Linked DNA regions of Macaca fascicularis. The protein of the gene in region 2 interacts with the protein of the main gene of each other region in a pairwise test. Links are inferred from orthologs where the notes say so. Each region holds a gene or a part of one and is shown on either strand. Other genes may lie near its edges.

Region 1 (4,873 bases), on a different chromosome or scaffold from region 2:
ATCCACTTTCAATAAAGCATGCTAATGGTCATTGGTCAACGGTATATGGCATAGTCTGCGCTAGATCTCATTGGCTGAGAGAATAAATTGACAGAGCATGGGAAAATATGTTGGAATTTTTCAAAGGTTAATAATACGTAATGTAATATACATAATGTAGATATATATAATGAATTAAAGTAATTACACGACAGCATAAAATAGGATTTGAGTTTCATATAGTCTTTTGGTGATTGATCCTAGAATCTTAACATGGGCTTGCTTCTCCAGATCAGGTCTGGTAAGTCTTCAGAAGTATTTTCAGAAGGATAGGGATTCTTCTCAGTCAAATAATGAAGTCCTTCCTAAGCATCCCACACTAGTGGAAATCACTCACATGGTTTTGGTATGAAATGTAATGAAGCTAGGTGGTGGCAGCGTGTGTATGTGTGTGTGCACAGTGTGTGTATGTGTGTGTGCACGGGCAGGTGCATACAATTTGGAATGCCTACTTCCACTGCCTATTTTCACAGTCTGGTGGTTCGAATGGAGTGTGTATATAAAGAGAACGAATAAACATAATTCTGGATTTCCCCTTTCTGCACCAAGTACTTGGTTTGAAGCAAACATTTGTGTATTGCTTAAATAGCAAACATTTTCAAATATTCAAGGAAAATATTAATTTTTATAATCTCAGAAAGCAACAAAGGACAAAATTTCTCAGCTACCTGAGAAGAGGTAGTTTTTGTTTGGGGAAGAATAAACAGGTGGATGGTCGTTTGAGTGGACCAAACAATTTCTTTGAGCCAACCCATCTCAGCCTTGATTGCAGCAAAAAGCATAAGGATGTGGAGTGTGTGTGGTTTCTTAGAACTGGGGATCTCTGCTGAATCTAGTCACAATGGAAGCAAAGCAGTTTCCATCACAATAATCGCTTTAACAATCGTGTGCCACTTCTTTCCAGGATCCAGAAGGGCATGAGGATCAAAATGGCTTTTAAAAGTTCTTCACTTAAACAAGGCCACAGCCACAAGGCTACTTGGCCGAGTGTCTCTTGAGAAAGAGTGAGTGCCATTTTGTTCTTTGTTCCAATGACAGTTGTTGGTGCCACTGGGCCTCACCACCTGGCCTGTATCATGAAGTCCTCCTCTTGACTGGGTCTAAGCCTTGAGTGGAAAGTGGGGGAGCCTCCCAACACTTCCTTGGAAACTCTAGGGAAGTAAATTGGGGAATATTTTCTTTGGGAGTCTCATTTTTCTCACCAAAATTTAGATACAGCTTCTGAAACTAATTATTCTTTTTTCATTATAAAAAATATTTTCCTTTATTTATTTATTTGCAGGCCCAGCCAAACTTGACTAGAAAAGAAGCCCGGGCAGGGGTTTGGATGAGCCCATGACGTGCAGCACGCTCCGACCAATTGGGAGGCCATGAAAAAGGGGAGGGCGGAAGTGACGAGCCGTATCCCTCCGCGGGGCGAGAGGGTCGGTGGGGGGAGTCGGCGTCTCTCTCCCCCGCGCCAGCTCCCGTACACGGAGCCGCATTCCTTGGCCCCCCCACCCCCCTCCCTCGGGGCCCCCCCCGCCCCCCTCGGGAAAAAAATCCACCCCAAATCACTCGAACCCGAGGGAGGCTTCCTTTCACCCTTGGGGAGACGAGCTTTCAACGGTTACCTCTTCTTCGTCTCCCCCCAAGCCCCTGTCCCCTCCCTGCTCCCACCCCCTTCTGGCGCCGGGTGTAAGGTCCCTTTAAGGCGACGGCGCCTTTCTCGGGTCAGACTACCGGCGGCGACGACCACGGGAGGTGAGTGAGCGAGCGAGCCTTCTCTCTCCCCACCCCCTGCTCCCGGGGGTTCCGTTATCTTTTCGCTCGGCGAGGCGTTCCGAGGCGAGACAATGAGAGGGGGATGGGGCCGGTACGCGCGGGGGTGGGGGCGGGGGGCCGGCGGCGCGCGCCCCCGCCCACCGCGAGTGGCGGCGCGGCCCGCGGCAGGGGCGGCCGCAGGGCGCGGTGCGCGAGCGCGAGTGTGTGTGCGTGCGCCCCGGGCCGCGGGAGCTGCGCGAAGGGCCGGCGGCGGAGGCCCCTGCCTGCCGGCTGGCCGGCCACCCCCGCCCCCTGGCGCCCGTCGCGGCGCGCGCGCGCGCACTCGCGCCCCACGGCCCTGCACACAGCCCGACGTCCACACGCACGCCCGGCGCGAGGCGTCTCGGAGGAGTGGGCGGCGCGGGCGCGGGCGGTGGCCCGCTGGGGAAGGGGCGGGGGCGCGGGCGGCGGCGAGACGGCGGAGCGCGGCGGGAGGGGCCGGCGAGGGGGCGAGGCCGGGCGGCGGCGGGGGCGGGCGGCGGCGGAGCGGCCCCTGGGGGTGGGGGTGCGCGGCCCTCCCCGCCCGGTCCCCGCTCGGAGAAGGAGTGGGGCGCTCGTTTTGAGCGGGAGGAGGAAAATGAGTGATTGCTGAGCCGATGCCTTGTTATGTAATCTCTCCTTGGTCTAATAGTACATCCTAAGCCTTAGTGCACTGCAGCTAGTTTACGAACTCTCCTCCCTCGGCCCCCAAATTTCTTTAGGGATGGCGCCGTGATTTATCAAATGGGATGGGGCGGAGAATCTCTATTTTCTGGTGATTATGTCCTGCCGCGGTGGGCGCCATGTTTATCCCGGGGACTATTTTCTTTAGATTTTTGGCAGCTTTTGCAAAGGAGTACTGTCATTAATCTACTTGCTTTCCCTCTTTCTGCGTGTTCTGATTTCCTTCTTCTCCAGATGTGGGATTCTCTCAAACTGCTAGTAGCACTTGTCTTGGACATTCTTAGTTCAGAAAAAGGTAGTGCTGATGAGTCCTCAGAGTCATTTGGTGGCCAGTCTCATTTTCAAAATGGAAATTAAGATGCAGTTGGACTATCTCAGAGCAGCCGCTGTCTTGATGCAGGCGGTGTAGCCCGTCCCTCCAAGCCCGTGGACACCTCTCACCGCAGCTCAAGACTCCACAGAAATGGGGTTTTACTTTTTTTTTTGAGACTAAGTTTCACTCTTGTCGTCCAGGCTGGTGTGCAAGTGGCACGATCTCTGCACACTGCAACCTCCGCCTCCCGGGTTCAAGTGATTCTCCTGCCTTAGCCTTCCTAGTAGCTGGGATTACAGGCATGTGCCACCACGCCCGGCTAATTTTTGTATTTTTAGTAGAGACGGGTTTTACCACGTTGACCAGGCCGCTCTTGAACGCCTGACCTCAGGTGCTCCGCCCGCCTTGGCCTCCCAAAGTGCTGGGATTACAGGCGTGAGCCACCGCTCCTGGCCGGGGTTTTACTTTTGTAGGCATTTACCCAACTAGAGGAAAGGGAAACGGAGGGGGCAGGGAGGGCTGCTCCTTGGCAAACGATTAATTTCGAGACACCATTGCTCAGGGTGTGAGAGCTTAAACTCTGAATTCGAACTGTTAGTACAATCATTCTCAACTTCGGGGTGCATAAAAAGTAACTCGAAGATTGTTAAACGTACAATTTGGGGGAGCCTCATCCCCCAAATTTATTCGAATGGAGCAGAGGGGAGTTGTCATCTCTACAGTTTTAAATGAGCAGTCCTGCGGCTGAGGCTGATTAATGTGACCACTACGTTGAAAATTACTGGTCTAACATAAAAGTGTTCAAGATGTTGAAACAAATGACACCTTGTGCCCTTGATTTCCTTCCCTTTTCCAGAGCTGTGTTGGTGTATCTCAAACTAAGGAGGTACATGGACTCTTGGGACGAACGTGATTTAGAGTTTCCACTCCCATCTTGAACTAGTGGTATAATATAGGAAAGCGGTTCTCGAAGTGTGGGCGGATGACCTGTGGGGATCTCCTCTTACCCTTTCAGGAGAGCCTCAAGGTCATAATTATTTTCAAAATAATAGTAAGATGCTATTTATTGTTTTCACTGATACGCTGATGGTTCAAAAGCAATGCTGGGTAAAACTACTGACGGTACCTTAGCACAAAGCAAGTCAGTGGCACCAAACTGCTTACTTGAGAATGCCCTTGAAGCAGTAAAATTTATTATTGTATTTTTATCTTTTTGAGACGGAGTTTTGCTCTGTCGCCCAGGGTGGAGTGCAGTGGCACTATCTCGGCTCACTGCAATCTCTGCCTCCCGGGTTGTATTTTTAGTAGAGATGGTGTTTCGCCATTTTGGCCAGGCTGGTCTCGAACTCGATGGCAGGCGATCCACCCACGGCGGCCTCCGGAAGTGCTGGGATTACAGGCTTGAGCCACCGTGCCCCGCCTGTTGTTATTAAATCTTAGCTTTTGACTACTTGTCTTTTTAATTTTTAAGAATTTGTGATGAAATAAACATGGATAAAGCATTTATGCTGCCTACGGAGGTGTGATTGTTGTCATGAGGGAAAAGCATTTGTGGGATTGGGTTGTGAGTGGCTTATTTCATGGAGTACCATGCGACTGGCAAACTGTGGTTTTTCACATTTAGTATTTGGCAGGTATTTCTTGAAAATGAAGTGAGCTTGTCACTTTTAGGAAAACAATTGACAGTATTTATTACCAGTGATAAAATTTGGGTGAAAATTAGAATTTTTAAAAAGTTGACAGCTGGAGTTTGACAGCTTCCTAGTACTTAAAAAACTTCCCTTATGATATCAGTGGTTAAGGACTGTAATATTTAAAAATGTTGTATAATATGTCATTTGGAAGATGGGCATAACTTAGTAAATCTGTATTTTGCAGATGACCAATGCATGATGTTGCAAAATCAAGCAAAAGTAAAAGAGCCTTTGAAAATACCAGATATAGCAATGGATTTTAACAGTAAAAAAGTGGATTGATGTGGTTTCAGATTCCAAAATGTTGCTATCCTTTAAGAAACTACTATCTGGCCTAGCATGGTGGCTCACTCCTGTAATC
Region 2 (3,966 bases):
AGAGTAAACTATACTTTGTGTCTTTAAAAGGCTTCTCTTCTAGCATTGCAGGTGAACTTTGCTTAGAAACATAACCATTTTTAAAAGCACATGTAGGTGAAGTCTAGTCTTTAAAGCACTTGTAGGTGAAATCCCTGGTCTGGGGCTGTCTCTGCAGTGTGTTTGCAGGGGCCATGCTTGCTCTGTGCAGTGCTGCTGTCGTCCAGGGCAGGTCCCACGGGAGGCCCGCTGTGGCCAGGTTCCATGGGGTGGGGCGCCCTGGGACAGGGGCTGCTGCTCTTCCCAGGGCCACCAGTGAGACTCTCAGTGTGTAGAGTGCGGTTCTGTGTGGAAGTTGTGGGGTGCATCTCCTGGCCCTCCCATAGTGGGACGCAGCCTCAAGTGAAGACCCCACAGCCCATGTCGAGTGCCTCAGAGCTGAGGCCGCCCACCTGCCTGCCTGGGCCCTCTTGACCCCGGAGCTGCCTGCCTGGCTGTTGGAGCGCCTGGTGGATTGAGTGGGAAGTGGGTGTAGGTGCTCACAGGCGATGGGGTCACCAGAACCCACCCAGGGGCCCCTCACCTGTCCCCCATTCTCATCCCACACTCTGGGAGGTGGTAGAAGGTCGGGAGGGCCAGCGGGACTCTGCCACCAGGACTCACTTCCGCCCCTCTTGGAACCGGGCCTCGCTTTCCTGCGAGCTTCTCCTGAGTTCTCAGTGCCCACCTTTGCTCTCCCTGAGGCCTTGAGGTGACTCTGCCTTGGGAATGGGGAGGGTTTGGGTCTCAGCCTCCCTCATGGTGCTGGCTTGGGTCTGAGCCCTGACTGGCACTCTGGGAGCCTGTGCTCTTCATGGTTGCCATTGAGATTTTTCCAGGAGGCCCTGTGGCATTGGCTTTTGCTCTCTCTGGAAGCTCTGCCTTGCTTTTTTTTCCCCCTTTTGTCCGCTCTGTAGGTGCTTGAGGGGGAGTTACAGATCCAGCAGAGGCTCAGTGACACTCTCCCTGGACCTGACGCGACCCAAGAGTGATGGGGAGACAGGATGTGCCACTGAGTCCTCGGTGTGGCCCTGAGGCCGTGTCCCTGCCGCTCAGGGTGTGCAGTCTGCAGAGCCGCGTGGGTTGTGGGCCATGCCACTGACGGGACTGTGTCTCTCCAGGTGCTGCAGGGCGCACAGCTGATCGCTGTGGCCTCCTCGGACCCCGCGGCGGCGGGCGTGGATGGATCACCGCTCCAGGGCAGCGACATCCAGGTTCAGTACGTGCAGCTGGCGCCAGTGAGCGACCACACGGCCGGGGCGCAGGTGAGTCTGGGGCCCCGCGCCGGGACACTGAAGTGATGGCACGGCCGCCTGCCGCTGCCACCGGGCACACGTGGCCCCGGGGCTTTCTCGTGACTCCTCCCGTGCGGAGGGCATGTGATCGGACACGGATGCCCATCTGAGGGTTCCACGTCTCCCACGCACCATGAATGTGAAGGTGAGAAGGTAGATCCTGCCCCAGTTCTAAATTTCAACTGATTCTGGAGACTGTCCTGTGGAAATGTTTGTCAGTTCAGGGGCAGAAGTGAAGCTCTGCCCTGTGCTCCCTCCACGGAGCCCTTTCCTGTGGGCTGGGGAGCATGGGGGCCCTGTCAGCTCGAGAGCTCCCTGCCCCTTGTCAAAGGCCTCAGCTTGGGGCAGAGCCAGCACCTTGGGCCATCATGACCCTGGCGTCCGCCACCTTGGGCCATCATGACCCTGGCGTCCGCCGAAACAAAGTGCAGGTCTGCTGTGCTCTGTGGATGGCCTGGTAGGCTCATGGCCAGCATCTCCAGACCTCGCAGGCGGAAGCGCCTGAGGGTGCGGCTGTGCTGACATCCCCAGGGTGGCCGAGGCCCAGACAAGAGCCCGTGATGCCATGGGCTGTTCGCTCTGAACACAGGAGGCGGAAGGTGGCCCTGTGTCCCGGAGCAGGCTTGGTCCCGCAGCCTCCGTGCCGCCTGGTTTGGGAACGTGCCCAACCGGGACCTTTTCCTTGTTCTTCCTCCAGCCGGGTGGTTGGCTGCTGCCCAGCCCTTTGGGAACATTCTGGCTGCTGTCTCTGGGTCTGTTCCTCTCCTTCCTGTGGACCCAGCACTGGTGATCCCCCTGTGTCTTGATGCCATCCATCTTCAATGCTTAGAATTAAAATCCTAGATGTCTGAGCAGCCTTTCCCTGCTCCCCGGGCGCTGCTGAGGGTGGGTGTGCCCGTCAGCCCTCGGGAGGAGTGGAGTCCTCCTCAGGAGGCGCTTGCTGAAGAATTGGGCTCAGTAGAGCCCACGCTCACCAGGGTGTGCAGGTCGCCCGGCTGGGCAGTTCTGCAGCCCCTCAGTGGCAGCAGCCACGCGACGGTGTCAGTGCTCGCCTGACACTCACGTCGTCTTCACAGCATGGCAGCTGCGGGCCCAGAGTTTAAGGGCCCATGTCCTGTAGAAGGCCTGGCCCCTCCTGCAGCCTGAGCCTTCCTGCCGTGCCGATGGGCGCGGTGGTCCCTGCACAGGCACGCCCTGTACTCTGTGCCCATGGGTGTGGTGGCCCCTGCACGGGCATGCCTTGTACTCTGCATGGTGTTTGGTTCTACACTGTCGCTGACCCCACTGGAGATGGGCTGGTAGCACATGACAGTCATGGGCACAGAATGGGCAGGCGGGAGGTGGGGGGTGGGTGGGATGGTGAAGGCAAACTCATTGAGCAGCGCTTATTTTATGTGGTGTGAACCTTGACCTGCCCGTGAAGAACAGCGAGGCGTGGTCAGCCCATGCTAGGACACATGGCGGCCCCTTGTGCTGTTCCAGACAGGAGCGCTGCAGGAGGGCAGTTAGGTCCGCGCCTGGGAATCTAGATGTGGGGGCCATGCCTGAGAGCTTCTGCTGCATTATAAGTTTCTGGTCATTTCCAGATTTCACAATTGAAGAAACCTGTGTCCCATGGTTGGTGTTTACACCCCTAGCTTCCTTTAAGCTTTCTCTGTCACCATGCCCTCCCTGGCAGGCCCCAGGTGAATGATTTAATTAGGATCCATCGTAACAGCGAAGGAAGACAGTGTGCTTAACGGGCCGCTTTCCCTGCAGAAAACCCCAGTGTGGTTGGACTTGGTGGTGAGCAGGTTTGCCTATCCGAGGCCAGGCAGCTGCAGGGTGCGGTAGCTTGTCACCAGCTGCACAGCTCTCTGCCTTACCATCTCAGCTTGTCCTCAGGCTAGCTCTGCCCCACTGGGAAGTGACCGAAGGCCTTCCTGGTGGCCCTGCAGGCGTGACTGCACCCAACAGAAACGGGTTTCTGGTTAAGCCTCCTTATCCACTGAAGCTCCCACCCCAGCAACGCTCGGGAATGGCCTGGCATCTTCCGTTGGTCGGAGCAGGGTCACACACATGAGCTAATTCTAGGAAAACCTGTGACTCGGCTGTGAGGGCCTGGCTCTGAGAAGATGGGGTTCCCTTAGGAGGGAAGGCAGGTCGCTGGCCTGTGGGGGTGGCCAATCCTCAAAGTGGAGAGTGGGGCCTGTTCCCTGGAGCAGTGGATTGGAAGGGTAGGGGGGTGCTATTTGCAGGGAAGACACTTGTCTTAATGCAGGGTGGCCTGCGGGTGTCATAGGCTCCCTGAACCATCTGTAGCAGGGGCAGTGCCTCCACCAGCCTCTGCCTGGAACATGGGTCTGGCCACCATCCTTGGAGGGCAAGTGAGTCCCTCCCAGCCAGCCCAGACCTGTGCCCCACTGTCCTCACCCACCCTGGTCCCTAGCTGCCTTTCCAGCTGTCCGGGGGAAGGAGCGTTGCATCCCAGGCAGTGGCCCCCCTACCCCAGCCTCCTGTGGCCTGCAGCCACCCACCCCAGGCCCTGGTGTGGTTCCTCCGTTCCAGCTCAGGTTCACCCCTTCCCCAGGCCCTGGTGTGGTTCCTCCGTTCCAGCTCAGGCTCGCCCCTTCCCCAGGCCCTGGTGTGGTTCCTCCATTCCAGCTCAGGTTCA
Region 3 (4,934 bases), on a different chromosome or scaffold from region 2:
GGATTTGAATTTCCTCTCTAGGTCTTTTTTTTTAATTAATTTTTTTAAAACAGAGTTTCGCTCTTGTTGCCCAGGCTGGAGTGCAATGGCCTGATCTTGGCTCCCTCCAACCTCCAACCTCCCACGTTCAAGCGATTCTCCTGCCTCAGTCTCCCGAGTAGCTGAGATTACAGGTATGTGCCACCATGCCCAGCTAATTTTGTATTTTTAATAGAGATGGGGTTTCCTCCATGTTGGTCAAGCTGGTCTCCAACTCTCGACCTCAGGTGATCCGCCCGCCTTAGCCTCTCAAAGTGCTGCGATTACAGGCATGAGCCACCGCACCCGGTCTCCTCTCTGGGTCTTTAAAAGCCTTCCACCTCACGCCTGTAATTCCAGCACTCTGGGAGGCTGAGATGGGCGGATCATGAGGTCAAGAGATCAAGACCACCCTGGCCAACATGGTGAAACCCCCTTCTCTACTAAAAATACAAAAATTAGCCGGGCGTGGCGGCACGCACCTGTAATCCCAGCTACTTGGGAAGCTGAGGCAGGAGATTTGCCTGAACGCGGGAGGCGGAGGTTGCAGTGAGCCGAGATCGAGTCACTGCACTCCAGCCTGGGGGACAGAGCGAGACTTCGTCTCAAAAAAACAAAACAAAACAAAAGTCTTCCACCACCGCGCACAGGGATCCAGTAGGATTTCAGGTCCAGAGTGAATCATACTATGGTCTCCACTCCCACATTTTTACACGACGAAATCTGTCTAGCATGTACAACTAATAAAAATAGTACAGGGAAAAGAGGTAATGGATAGGCAATTTATAGCCAGAGAGGTGGGAGTGTAGGTTTTGGGTCCACCATTTTTTATTTTCTTGATAAGGAGCCCTTTAGGCCATTTTAGAACTAGTGTCACTGCCTGCCTTCCTGGGTCTTTGCCACACCAAAGACTTGTTTCCTCCACTAGACAAAAACATGGATGGCTGGCCCAGTTCTGTCTCAAACAATGATCGTGTAGAATCAAATAAGGCCCTCTGTAAACTATAGCATTTTACAGACTGGTAAGGTAGCAGCCATCTTTCCAAGGTATCAGGGAACAGCGAAGCAGCTGATTAAAATAGTCTTGATTACTTGAGATACAGGAGGGTAGGAATAACATGTGGTAACTGAACTCCATAGATACTATCTAAAACCGCATTCTAACAGGCAAATTTAATCTTTCTGAGATTTGCCTCTTTGTAGAGCTCTAAAAAATAAGAAAAGGAGAGGGGTGTAAAATGCCACTTAAGATTTGTTAAATTTCTTCTCCTTTTGAGCCCTGTCCATAGGTAGATGGAATTAGGGCAGAACAAAAACATTAAGAATAAAAGCCCGAAGGAGAGGCGCGTACATGTGAATACAAGTGAATACTGGGGTAAGGAAATGAGTTATGCGGAAAAGGCTTCAGACCATCCCTGGGAACTGTTCCGGGTCCGGACATTTCCTTTGGCAACCTTCCAGAGTCTGAGTCCCCAGGGCTCCCCACTGCGGGAAGGGAAAGGCGCGCGTGGCTAGGCGCGCGCGTACACGGGCACTCACGTGTACACACACACGCGCGCACACTACACATACACACACTGCCCATTTCCTCCGCTCCCTCCCCGCGGGGGGCGGGTCTCTTTCTCTTTAAAGAGCAGACGGTCTCCGCGCACACCCAGGCTCTCAAGGCCTCGGGGGCCCGGGACCCGAGCTGCTCGTAGCCAATGGGAGCGGTAGAGCGGCTCGAGCGCGGCTGACGCTGCACCAATGGGCGATCGTGGGGGGCGGGGGCAGCGGAGGAGACACTATTGTTGATGAGGAGCGGCGGCGGCGGCGGCGGCTGCACCACCTCGTTGCTGCCGGTCCCGGCCCGGTCGCCCCCTGCACCCCGGAGTCCAGCTTCGTCACCCCGCGCGGGGGCCTGCCCTCCGGCCTCGAGAATCCTCCCCCTGCAGCCCAACAACAAAACCCCCCGTCTCGCCCAGTCACCGGGGAGGGGGGGACCATGTCCCAGCGGGTGAGGCGCAATGGGTCCCCCACGCCGGCCGGCTCCCTTGGGGGTGGTGCGGTCGCCACGGCCGGGGGACCCGGGAGCCGCTTGCAGCCCATGAGGGCGACGGTTCCGTTCCAGCTGAAGCAGCAGCAGCAACATGGCAGCCCCACGCGGAGCGGCGGCGGCGGCGGCGGCGGCGGCAACAACAACGGTGGCTGCTGTGGTGGCGCCTCAGGCCCCGCAGGCGGCGGCGGCGGCCCGCGCACCGCCTTGCGCAGCACCAGCCCCACGCGCGGCGGCGGGAACGCGGCCGCGCGCACCAGCCCCACGGTGGCCACGCAGACGGGCGCGTCCGCGACGTCCACGCGAGGCACCAGCCCCACGCGCGGCGCCGCGCCTGGAGCTCGCGGGAGCCCCCCACGGCCGCCGCCACCGCCGCCGTTGCTGGGCACCGTGTCGTCGCCCAGCTCGTCGCCCACCCACCTGTGGACCGGCGAGGTGAGCGCGGCCCCACCCCCAGCCCGCGTCCGGCATCGGAGGAGGTCTCCGGAGCAGAGCCGAAGCTCGCCGGAGAAGAGGAGCCCTAGCGCCCCGGTTTGCAAAGCAGGTAAGTGCTGGGGGTCGCGCAGCGAGGGGGAGGCGGCGGCGGGAAGGAGTCCCGGGCGCGCGCTGCAATCGCGCGGGGAATGCAGCGCTGCCGCGGAGCCCGGGTGGCTGGGGGCGGGGCTGGGGGCGGTGTCGGGCGGTGGGGACCGGGCAGTGCGGCCCCGCCTTTCCCGGGCCTACCCTGCGCCCCGCCCGCCCGTCTCATTCATTCCTCTGCCCGCCCCGCGCGGCTCCCTGGCGGTGGAGGTGCAGTGGCTAAACCTTGGGCTTGAGCTGATGAGTGTTAATGATAACCCTGGCGTCCTGGCCGTATTCCTGGAGGAGTCGTTACTGCTTACCCTCCTTTGAGGGTGAGGCTAGGAGTGGTTTATCACTTTGTTTTAGGCACAAGGTTAATGTTGGCATAGCCCGTATCTGCTGCTGCTAAGTATTTCTGTTCACAAAACAGTTTCAAATCTGGGGTACTGAATGCATTAGCAGTGGCAGATTTGGATCACTGAACAGACGAGGCTGAGACCCGTGTTTTAGCATTTTCCAAGACTTTGATAAATGGGTAGCAAGAAGTGAGAATTAAGCAAGATTCCTTAGGAAGGTTTATGGGTTTTGTCTGAGGTTCTGGGTGTATTTCTGATTTTGTGTACTGATTCTGTTGTTTGAATGTAGAAAAACAGAATCCAGTGTTTGTCTCCATCTTGTTATTGTTTTAGGGAGCTAACATTCGTTGTTTTTCTGTTTACCTGGAAGCTTTCTTGGGGAAAGTCGTGAATGGAGCTGTGGGTGCCATTGGAGTCATTCATAAAGAGTAACTCAAAAGAAAAATTCAAATTGTGGGAAGTGGAAAGGAATAAAATTTATCATCTTGTTGCCTTGAGAAAATAAATATGTGGTTTTTAATTATGTATTCATTTTTGTCAACATATATCTTTGTCTTTCCCTTACTGGGATAGTTCTGTTAGAATCTTCCAGGCAGAATGGTTGGGAATTTCAGGAAACAAATTCAGATGAAATAGTTTCCGAAATGGAAGGAATAGGATGACTCTTTCTTACTGTTTATGAAAAGTTTTAGATAATACTTTTTTTAGAGATAATTGCCCTGGAAAATGATTAATAGTGTTTTCTTTTTTTGAGGTAGAATCTCTGTCACCCAGGCTGGAGTACAGTTACGCGATCTTGGCTTACTGCAACCTCTAACTCCCGGGTTCAAACGATTCTGCCTCAGCCTCCTAAGTAGCTGGGGTTACAGGCGACCGCCACCATAACCGGCTAATTTTTAGTAGAGACAGTGTTTCACCATGTTGGCCAGGCTGGTCTCGAACTCCTGACTTCAGGTGATCCGCCCGCCTCGGCTTCTCAAAATGCTGGGATTACAGGCGTGCGCCTCCGCGCGCTGCCCGAATAGTGCTTTCTAATTAGAACTAGAGCACTGTTTTATTTATTTGTATTTATATTTTTATTTATTTCTTGAGAGGGAGTCTTGCTCAGCCGCCCAAACTGGAGTGCAGTTATGTGATCTCGGCTCACTGCAACCACTGTCACCCGGGTTCAAGCAATTCTTCTGTCTCAGCCTCCCGAGTACCTGGGATTACAGGCACCCGCCATCATGCCCGGCTAATTTTTGTATTTTAGTAGAGACAGGGTTTCACCATGTTGGCCAGGCTGATTTGGAACTCTTGACCTCAGGTGATCTGCCTGCCTCGGCCTCCCGAAGTGCTAGGATTGCCCGGTCCAGAGCACTATTTTAAATCTTTTGAGAATGCAGAATGCTTTTCTAAAACTGTGATAAAAGTATTAGACTTCACCTCCCCGCTTCATAACCTCTGTCACCTGATGAACTCTTACTATGTGTCAGGTAGTTTTTATGCAAAATCTCATTTAACCTTCACTATGGCTTTTAGAGAGGTTAAGTAACAAGTTGCAGAGCTGGTATTTATTTGAACTTTGGTCAGTTGTACTCCAAAGACCATGTCTTTATATTATATCAAGGAAGTGACATCATGATGTGTAAGATAGAATGTGGGAAATATATAGCAGGCCAAAATTACATGTACTTAGTTAAGTAAATTTTTTTTTTTTTTTTTGAGACGACGTCTCACTCTGTCATCCAGGCTGGAGTGCAGTGACGTGATCTTGGCTCACCGCAACGCCTACCTCCCGGGTTCAAGCAATGCTCCTGCCTCAGCCTCCCGAGTAGCAGGGATTACAGGCATGTGCTACCATGACCGGCTAATTTTGTATTTTTAGTAGAGACGGGGTTTTTCCATGTTGTTCAGCCTGGTCTTGAACTCCCAACCTCAAGTGATCTGCCGACCTTGGCTTCCCCAAAGTACTGGGATTACAG
Region 4 (4,833 bases), on a different chromosome or scaffold from region 2:
CAATAATTTTAAAAAGAACACCCAGTTTCTCTTTTTTTTTTTTTTTTTTTTTTTTTGAGACGGAGTCTTAGTCACCCAGGCTAGAGTGCAATGGCACAAGCTTGGCTCACTGAAGCCTCCACCTCCCAGGTTCAAGCGATTCTTGTGCCTCAGCCTCCCAAGCACTCGCAGCCAACATGCTGAGCTAATTTTTGTATTTTTAGTAGAGATCGGGCTTCACCATGTTGGCCAGGCTGGTCTCAAACTCCTGACCTCAAGCAATCTGCACCACCTCAGCCTTCCAAAGTGCTGGGATTACAGGCGTGAGTCACCGCACCTGGCCTCAAACACCTAGTTTCTAGTCCCAATTCTGCCCCTAACTCACTGGACAACTTCAAAGAATCTCTTGATCTTTCTGGGCACAGCTGCCTCATCTGTAAGAAAAAATGAGAAGCCAGTATTGGCCATTATCTTTTGACCTCTTGCCCTCTTAGAGGAGGCTTAGCTCCCTTGAACCACCTCTTCACCTCTTTTTGTTGTTGTTGTTGTTGTTGTTGCCCTGGCTGGAGTGCAGTGGCATGATCTCGGCTCACTGCAGCCTCCGCCTCCCAGGTTCAAGTGATTCTCCTGCCTCAGCCTCCTGAGTAGCTGGGACTACAGGCGTGTGCCACCACGCCCAGCTAATTTTTGTATTTTTAGTAGAAACGGGGTTTCACCATGTTGGCCAGGATGGTCTCGATCTCCTGACCTCGTGATCTGCCCACGTCCGGCCTCCCAAAGTGTTGGGATCACAGGAGTGAGCCACCGCACCCGGCCAGCCTCTTAAAGTTATATCACTCCATGACATTGTTAAGAGCACAGATCACTTGCCTTCTGTGGTGGAGCTGTGACTCCCGGGATGAGTTATTTACCCTCTCTGTGTCTCAAGTTCCCTCATCCGCAAAATGAAAGTAAAGAATAATTTAGTGTATCCTTGGGTTGTTAAAGGGTTAAAAGGCTAATATAGGTAAGGTATTTAGAACAGTGGTTGACACAGATAAGGACTACCCTGGCATTAAGATCGTTATTATTCACTTAAATGGATACCTTTGTAGTTTTACATGAAATGTATTATTGATAAATCAAAAAATAGAAATATAGGCATAATCTGAGGATATGAAAAGACTACAGTGGATAACAGGCAGGAAGAGAGCTTGGAGGCCACTGTTTTTCCTTTTTTGAAAAAGCTTCTCTGTGCTTTGATTTTTCACGTATGTGTATATATGTGACACTAGTTTCTTAATGGAAACAGATTGAGCAAAAAGATCACTAAAGTCCCTCTTATCTCTAAATGTAGAGATTGACTATGATTTTCAAAGAGCAACATTTTCTAGGTGTCTGGCTTATCCTTATTTTCATAGCTTGACCATTTTTACTTTTGACCTTCCCAGGAAATCCTTATGAAGGTTTAAAATAAACACAATCACTTTGGTATGTTTATAATGGAGCAGGTTCCGACTCCTTGGATACTAGAGAAACCGGGAAAGGTGAAAATAGGAACTTTGTAAATACTTGGCCTCAGGGACTGGCTGATATTTTACCTCTTACCATCTTTTCCCAGAAACAATTCAGTTAACTAAAGGAAAGATCATAAAGTTAACAACCGCAACAACAAAAGCGTGGTTGGTAGGCAGCAGCCTGGCGGTGAAAGCGTTAACAGGGCTGGGTAAGGCGATCCCTTGAAATGAGTAAGACTGAGTGGTTAAAGTTTTCAAAGCGGTGGCAGCAGCGGCGCTTGGGGGAATGGAAGCCGGTTGGAGGGAGCCGCGCACCCCTGCTGCGCGGAGGAGGGGGCTGAGCTGAACTCAGCAGAGGTTACACGCACAAGGTTAGTGGCCCCCACACGCCTCCCCAGCCCGCCGCCGCGCTGACATCTTTGGAGAGGAGTCTTAGAAAGGCGAGGCGCCATCGCTCATTCTCGCGTCGTATCTGTCCTGCTGACTAGTCGCTAGTGGAGCCACTGGCCTTCTTGCCAAACCTCTGGGCTCAGTACTCACTGAAGCCCTGGCACTTGTGAGGGACAGCTGACTTCTTCCCACACTTTTCTAAACTGGAGGCTTCTTTTCATACATCCAAAAGGAAACTTGTTTCTGGAATACGTACTGTTTTCAGACCACACACACACACACATGCATACACACATACACACACACACACGACCCCTACCTGTATATGCTGCCCCAGTATGGTTTTTACAGGTTGTGACCACAATCCGGAATTCCTATCTGCTTCGTTTGAAACTGAGAACAATGTCAAAGTAACTAAACAGGCTGCACTACTTTACCTCGTGGGAGGAATATTGTCTCTGAGCCTAAGGTAATCAGAATGAGGAGAAAAAAAAAAAAAGAACCAAAGATGAAAAAAGAAAAGAAACAGAGCTTCCAAGCACCCTGACTTGTAGTTAAGGCAAAACAATTTTTGGAAATGGGTTTCTAATGGAAATTTTTCATTGCTAGCATCATGTGGGAAGGTATATTGTAAAGGAAATAATTCTACATCTGCATGAGATTCAGATAAACGTACCGACCTAAACTAATCTGCATGTCATGCAGATAACAGATACACTTAGATTTAGGGGAAGGAGGAGGAGGAGATAACTTCACAGAACTTGCGTTCGGAGGGGGCTTTGTTGTAAGAATTGAGACTGTCAGGAGCTTTCCCCAGGCAGGGGTGAAGGAACTCTTCCCGGCCCTGGCTGGTAGAGAGGGCTTGGGGAGCCACTTCAGCAGGCCAGTTTATTTCTCTGCTCTCCTGGCCACATAGGCAATGAACAGTCAGTCTTGTGCTCAGTGTTCCTCTGATCCTCACAGCAAGCACGAGTTGAGTCTTATACCTGCTAGCATTGAATCAGAATGAGTCATTTGAAACTTGGGTGCCGGAACAAAGTACTTGCAAACTGCCTTATGAGACACTGCCTCGATGTAGGTGGGATATACCTCTCGGAGCAGTCACATTTTTTTTCTCTCCTCTCCCTCCTTCACGCAGGCAAGAATTCTGACGTTCTCAAGAGGCCAGCTCTGCCCCCGTTGCTCAACTGACCTTATCATGTGGACTCTGCTCCTCCAGGTGGGAACTGGAGTTTTGAAATAAAATGGATGATTTGACATTACTTGATCTTCTGGAGTGCCCTGTGTGCTTTGAGAAGCTCGATGTCACAGCCAAAGTCCTCCCTTGCCAGCACACCTTCTGCAAACCATGTCTACAGAGGGTTTTCAAGGCCCACAAAGAGCTGCGGTGCCCCGAATGCAGGACGCCTGTGTTTTGCAGCATCGAGGCGCTGCCGGCCAACCTGCTGCTCGTGCGCCTTCTCGATGGAGTGCGCTCAGGGCAGAGCTCCGGGAGAGGAGGCTCCTTCCGCAGGCCCGGCATGATGACCTTGCAGGATGGCAGGAAAAACAGGACCAACCCCAGACGTCTGCAGGCCAGTCCTTTCCGGCTAGTGCCTAATATCAGAATCCACATGGATGGGGTAAGAGAGATCTTATTTGTTAATATCATGCCCACATGGAGGTTGGATTTGTGTATACAAGGAGCTAGAGATTATCTTCTTTTAACTACAAGTTTAACATTCCAGAGTGCTGCTGGTGATTCCCCAGTGATACGTTTCTGTGGGCAGTGATCATTTTACTCAAATACGATGGAAGCCTGAGCCTACCTAATCTATCTAAGAATTCTCTTTAGAACTACTAAAGCTTCCTAGGTTCTCCTTTCCTCTTGTCCAGAAAGTAGTAGAACAAGGAAAGCCTTTTAGATTATATTTTTGGTGTTTGATTTCTGCTCTTCTGAGGCCAAACCAGTGCCTGGGAAATGCACGGAGGGTGGGGAAAAAAAAGAGAAAACAAATCCAACTGCTTGTTGCTTTTGAGATCTCTTGGAAATTTCCAAATGTCAAGTTTTTTTTGAATTTTACCCAAATCCATCTTCCCACCCCTAGTCATAAAGTGCTATTATGGCAATACTCATTCATAATCTGTTCGAAGCTATCAAGATACTTGACGAGGGAGATAGTGCAGGAGGGAAGCGTCTATGTGGGTGGACTGATTGATAGCGAAGGCTGGGCTGTGAAGTACATCAGCTGTGTATAGAAGCTCTGCAGATGTGTCTCATTTTGCAAAATGAATGAAATACACAGAAGATACACAGCAGGCGCTGCAATTAAAAAACCAAACAGACCCAGTTAAGCCTCGCAGGAGATTAATGCTTTTCATGTTTGGATAATGGGAATCGCTCTGTCCAGCACTGAAAGCACACCCCGAGGACTTCATCTGACCTGGCTATGAGTCTTGTTGTGGGATAATGTGTAAGGGCACATCTGGAAAGAAGGACATGGTCCTTGTGAGTCCAGCAGAATTATTTGCACTGTCACCCCTGGAGTCAGTGTAACAAAGTGGACACGGAAAGCTGTGGCTTGGGCCATTGGCATACTTAGAAAATCAAAGCTGCATTCCTTGAAGTCTTACCTAGAGCAAGCGTTAGAGTCTAAATGCTGGCAGCAGGGTCCTACATCTCCCTGCTCAGAAGACAAACAGTGTGTGGGAGGGTCTTGCAGGACTGCTTCCTTACTCAGGAGTGAGGAGTGGCTTGTGATATGCATTTGGAACAACTTTCCAAAATTTTCCTTCTAAGGGCTACCGCTTCCTGGGTTCACTGCATCTTTAAACCACCCATAGGGCATGTGTAAACATTCGAAATGAGGGTGGGAAGAAGTGGGACATTTTTTCACTGTAGACTTTTTATTGCCATTGTGCTTGTATGTGAACACATTCCAGAAAAGGACTTTTTCTTTTTAAGTCCCTCCACTACCCCTGGTCTAGT
Region 5 (4,690 bases), on a different chromosome or scaffold from region 2:
TAGTTTTCTTCCTAACACTGTTTTTGATGGACACATTGGTACCTGTTAACTCATTTCCTACTGTTTGTCCCCTCTAACATGCTTACTCTAAGGATGGAGGGGCCTTATTCTCCTGGTCCCTGGGGACAGACCAGTGTTCACAGACCCCAGACCAGGGACTGTTGGACAGCAGGCCTGCCACATTTGTTCAATGAAGGAATGATTCCCAAAAGAAATAGAGCACAGAGTTCAGAGGCGGGCTTCAGGGAAGAAATTTTAACAATGTCAAAAATTAATTGTGGAGTATCCATTGATGGATGAATGGATAACTTACATGTGGAATATGCATACAATGGAATATTATTCAGCCACAAGAAAGAAGGGGCTGGGCGCAGTGGCTCACGCCTGTAATCCCAGCACTTTGGGAGGCCCAGGCGGGCGGATCACAAGGTCAGGAGATCGATTCCATCCTGGTCAACATGATGAAACCCTGTCTGTACTAAAATACAAAAAAAAAAAAAAAAATTAGCCAGGCGTGGTGGCGCGCCCCTGTAGTCCCAGCTACTCAGGAGGCTGAGGCAGGGGAATAGCTTGAACCTGGGAGCTGGAGGTTGCAGTGAGCCAAGATTGCACCACTACACTCCAGACTGGCGACAGAGCGAGACTCCGTCTCAAAAAAAAAAAAAAAAAAAAAGAAAGGAAATTCTGACACATGCCACAACATGGACGAAAGTGAGGACATTGTGCTAACTGAAGTAAGACAGTCACAAAAAGACATATAATATATGGTTCCACTTATACGCAGTCCTTATAGTAGTCTAATTTAGAGACAAAGTAGAATAGTGAATGCCAAAGGCTGGGAGGAGGAAAGAATGGGGAGCTAGTGTTTACTGGGTATTGAGTTTCCATTTGAGAAGATGAAAAAGTCCTGGAGACGGATGGTGGTTGCACAAGAATGTGAACGTACTTGGTGCCACAGAACTACACTTGGAAACAGTTAAGATGGTAAGTTTTACGTTATGTATATTTTACCACAATTAAGAAAATTTAATTATGGGTAGTTGAGAGAATGTGGTCTTCCTCAACTTACGGTAGGAAAAGTCAAGAATAACTTAAAGGCTGATAATAGCATTTTAGAGGTCGAAACTGATCAGAGAGGCTATTCCATCAGGCTAGACTAGCTCAATAGTGACTTTTTCCAGGAGTAGAACCGCTGGGAAGAGAGAACTGGGCAGTAAGGAAAGCGAACTTGTTCAGTTAAGTTTGATTTTCTGCTTTAACGAGGGGCTTCCTGAGTCCCTTAATAAGATCCCCTCCCAAAAGAGGCACCCCGGGTCTCTGCGTCTCCCAGTCATGTCCCCGCCCGCCGGGCCAGAGCAATGGACTCCCAGGAGGCAGGGGAGGCGCGGGCGAGGCGGGTGGGGGAAGGGCAAGGACTCACTCTTCCTTTCCTCCTCCGCCGGGGCCCGCCCCGAACCCTGGCCCCGCCCCGGCTCCCTGGCTCCGCCTCCTCCTCCCGACCCCGCCCCGGCACCTTGGCCCCCCCGCCCACTCGGCTCCGCCCCGGCGTCCTGGCCCCGCCTCCGCCGCCCGGCCCCGCCCCGCTCCTGGCGGACTGCGAGCAGGAAGCGCGCGGTGGCTCTGCCGACGCCGCGTTTGGAAAGGTGTGGAGGGGGCTGGGGGCGCAAGTCGCGATCAGGCTGCGTCTCCTGCCCGCCCAGCTACCTGCGGCCCTGGCCCCACCCCGCCGCTTTGGGCCGCTCAGGTTCGCGGCCGCCCCCGCCCCGAGCGCCGGCTCGGGGCTCCGCTGCTCTGGCCTGGGAGGCGGGGCCGGCTGCGCGGCGTCATGCATATGCATGAACGGCGCGGCGGCGGCTCCATTGTGCCCTCGGAGCGGGCGGCGGCGCGATGGCGCGGGTGGCGGCGGCCCCGGGGCGGCGGGCGTCGCGGAGGGCGGGCTGAGCGCATGGAGCGGCGCGGGCCGGGGGCCGCCACGGCGAGGGGCCGGGCCAGGCCGGGCGGAGGTGAGCGGGGCCCTGGGGGTGGCCCCTGGCAACGCCGCCCGCGGGCAGGTGCGGGCCGGCGGGGGCGGGCAGGTGCGGCAGGTGCGGGCCGGCAGGTGCGGGCGGGCAGGTGTAGCCAGTCGCCCGGGGCGCCCCAGTTCGGTTGCGGCGCCGCGGTAGGGTTCGCAGCCGGGCTGGGGCTGAAGGCTCTGCCGCCCACCTGCCGGCACCTGCCACGCGTGCGTCGTGGTCTTGGGCAGGCTCGGCCCCGTGGGCGTCAGGGTCGTCCAGCCCTCCCCTGAGTCTTTGTTGGAGGCTGGCCGAGGGGTGTAAGCGGCGCTCGGGGTTTTCCTGAGCGATGAAGGCTGGCCGGGCCTTCGCTCCAACCTGATCGTTCCTGGCTCTGGGGCCAGGCAGTCTCACCTACATGGTACGCCCCTCCGCTCCCACTTACGTGCCCACAACAGGGCAATGTGGGGGCCCGCTGAGGCCGTCACCTGCTCGCCGAGGAGCTGTTCCGCTCCTGGGCTGAACGACGCTGAGCTGCCAGCCCCCAGCTGGCAGTTTTGATGAGGACACCCCTTTGCAAACTGGACATACTGAAGCTCAGGCGTGAGGATGCCCTGCTCCCCTGAGGTGCCTTGTCTTCCCTAGTGCCAGGTGTCCTTCACCGCGGCACCCCCACCCGGTGCCTTGTTTACCCCTCCACCTACCCTGTCTCTCCTCCCATTCCCTGGACCCTCTGCCCTGCAGTGTTCTGCCTCTCCTTCTCCCTGGGGTACCCTCTTTCCAGTATTACAGAACATCCATGGTGGTGTCTTTAATTTGTGTCATCGCAGATTTCACAGGGACACACATAGAACATGTGACTTGGTCTGAGACCGTGGTGATTATGGATAGGATGGACACAGACTCACCACCAAGTTCTGGCAAGCTAGAACCAGAGGGCATCCCTTGATGCTTAGTGAAACAGGAGAAGTGAAGGAATCTTAACTTTCAGGGGTACTGACCCTTGAATGGCCCTTGTCATGCCCAGGGGGTAGTTACAAGCTGGAAGTGTAAATGAGGAGAACAAGCAGATGACAGTTGCCGGTGTAGATTTCTGAAGGACAGGCCTAAGATGTTTGGGGAGCATCTTGATTATTGGGATTGAGCTCCCAAGGGCTGATGAGATGAAGGTGGTCATGTGTCCTCAGTCCTAGGATGCCACCAGATACCCATCTTAACACATTGTAAACTGATGCCAGGTTAAGGTTGTCCCTTCAGCTGTTCACTGAAACGTCTCATGCCTGGGCCATTGCTTATTCCTGGACTTTTTGATGAACCCCGCATCCTGCCTTAGCCCCACGCTTAGGCAGTTTAGTACTGTGGCCTTACAGGTAGAGGGGGCAGGACTTTCAGCTACCTGTACATGTGAGCACCCCACTTTTTGCTACTAGGGACCCCGCTCCTGCCCCATTCCAGAGCCATCATTTCTTCAAGACCCTTTGACTCCATTGTCACCCAGGTTGGATCCTGACCCTGCAGTCTTGGAGACAGTGAGACCTGATCTGTGACCTATTGAGAAGGGTTGCCTGCCACAGGGCCCACTTGCTGGTCCTGCTCCTAACTGACAAGGCAGGCAGAGAGGTGGCATGGAACAAGGCTCAGGAGGCCAACCAGGAGACTTGGGGGTGCAGCTACTCTGGGACACTTGGGTAAGAGAGGTCTGGGTAGTGAGTTGTGTAGCTCTGTCTAGAGGAAGATGTGATCTGACCCCCAGAAAGCCTTGTGGCCCTCTAGACTGACCTTGTCCATCTTTCAAGGGGTCCTAGCTTCCAGCTGGAGTTAGTTTACAAGGAAAGTGCCAGGCACTAAGACTCTTGGTGGGCATGGGCCTTGCCTGATCTGGAATCCAGATTCCAGGCTCCAGGCTGTTCCCAGCCCAGACTCAGAGCCAGGAGATGGGAGGAGGATCTGCACACACACAACGTAGAAACGCTTCCCTATGATCAGGGGCAGAGGGTCAAGGATACCAGACCTGGAGACTGGAAGTCTTTCTAAAGAGACTGTCCTCAGAGAGGAGACCAGAGGCATGAGTTCGGGTCGGCAGGAAATCCCCCTGTGCAGTGAAGAGTAAGCTCAGAGGGAACTGGAAATTGTGGTCTCTGTCCACAGCAGAGAAGCATCAGGGGTGGAATTCCCCAGGCCCATGTGACATAGGAGCCTGCTGTGGGCTCCTCCCCTCCCTGTACCTGCCCTGTGCCCCTTCTTCCCAGCTCACTCCATTTCCTAGATCTGAGGCTCTCAAACTATAGTTCCTGGACTAGCAGCAGTAGTAGCTGCAAACTTGTTAGAAATTACAGGCTTAGGCCCCAGCCCAGCCTACTGACTTCAGGTGGAGCTAGGCAGCCTGTCATCACCAGCTGCAAGCTGGTTTTGATGTGCTGTAGTTGAGGAGCTGCTGCGCTAGGTGACCTGAAATGAGGCAGTTCTGCACGGAGTGCTGCCTGCACTTTGAGGCCTTTGACCAGGGGTGGGGGGAGGAGGCACCTCTGCTTGCCTGCCAGATTCCCTCCCTGTGCTTCTTGGGACAGCAAAGTGGCCAGGCCAACCCAACCAGCTTTCCAGTAGGGAAGGATTGTCACAGCAGTTCTGCGGATACAGAAGGCTGGTGGTAGCAGTTGTATTGTAATTAAACTTCTTATTTTGAAATTATTGGCTGGACA

The links. The genes of interacting proteins can lie anywhere in the genome.
Region 1: the proteins of BANP (region 2) and POGZ interact in binary tests that used the Homo sapiens proteins (3 or more experiments, as listed by UniProt). The two-hybrid records come from large-scale screens. The link is inferred for Macaca fascicularis from reciprocal best matches to the Homo sapiens genes BANP and POGZ.
Region 3: the proteins of BANP (region 2) and FAM117B interact in binary tests that used the Homo sapiens proteins (3 or more experiments, as listed by UniProt). The two-hybrid records come from large-scale screens. The link is inferred for Macaca fascicularis from reciprocal best matches to the Homo sapiens genes BANP and FAM117B.
Region 4: the proteins of BANP (region 2) and SH3RF2 interact in binary tests that used the Homo sapiens proteins (3 or more experiments, as listed by UniProt). The two-hybrid records come from large-scale screens. The link is inferred for Macaca fascicularis from reciprocal best matches to the Homo sapiens genes BANP and SH3RF2.
Region 5: the proteins of BANP (region 2) and ZMIZ2 interact in binary tests that used the Homo sapiens proteins (3 or more experiments, as listed by UniProt). The two-hybrid records come from large-scale screens. The link is inferred for Macaca fascicularis from reciprocal best matches to the Homo sapiens genes BANP and ZMIZ2.

What each region holds. Positions count from the first base shown.
Region 1 is NC_088375.1:109,754,422-109,759,294, forward strand, and holds the start of POGZ (pogo transposable element with ZNF domain), read left to right. Parts: upstream 1-1,754; 5' UTR 1,755-1,782; intron 1,783-4,873. UniProt on the Homo sapiens protein: Plays a role in mitotic cell cycle progression and is involved in kinetochore assembly and mitotic sister chromatid cohesion.
Region 2 is NC_088394.1:83,976,664-83,980,629, forward strand, and holds part of BANP (protein BANP), read left to right. Parts: intron 1-1,139; coding exon 1,140-1,283; exon of another isoform or gene 1,284-1,458; intron 1,459-3,966. UniProt on the Homo sapiens protein: Controls V(D)J recombination during T-cell development by repressing T-cell receptor (TCR) beta enhancer function. Binds to scaffold/matrix attachment region beta (S/MARbeta), an ATC-rich DNA sequence located upstream of the TCR beta enhancer.
Region 3 is NC_088386.1:98,501,783-98,506,716, forward strand, and holds the start of FAM117B (protein FAM117B), read left to right. Parts: upstream 1-1,815; 5' UTR 1,816-2,002; coding exon 2,003-2,597; intron 2,598-4,934.
Region 4 is NC_088380.1:152,722,022-152,726,854, forward strand, and holds the start of SH3RF2 (E3 ubiquitin-protein ligase SH3RF2), read left to right. Parts: upstream 1-1,714; 5' UTR 1,715-1,846; intron 1,847-3,003; 5' UTR 3,004-3,109; coding exon 3,110-3,487; intron 3,488-4,833. UniProt on the Homo sapiens protein: Has E3 ubiquitin-protein ligase activity. Acts as an anti-apoptotic regulator of the JNK pathway by ubiquitinating and promoting the degradation of SH3RF1, a scaffold protein that is required for pro-apoptotic JNK activation.
Region 5 is NC_088377.1:85,592,893-85,597,582, reverse strand, and holds the start of ZMIZ2 (zinc finger MIZ domain-containing protein 2), read left to right. Parts: upstream 1-1,571; 5' UTR 1,572-1,643; exon of another isoform or gene 1,644-1,825; coding exon of another isoform or gene 1,826-2,003; intron 2,004-4,690. UniProt on the Homo sapiens protein: Increases ligand-dependent transcriptional activity of AR and other nuclear hormone receptors.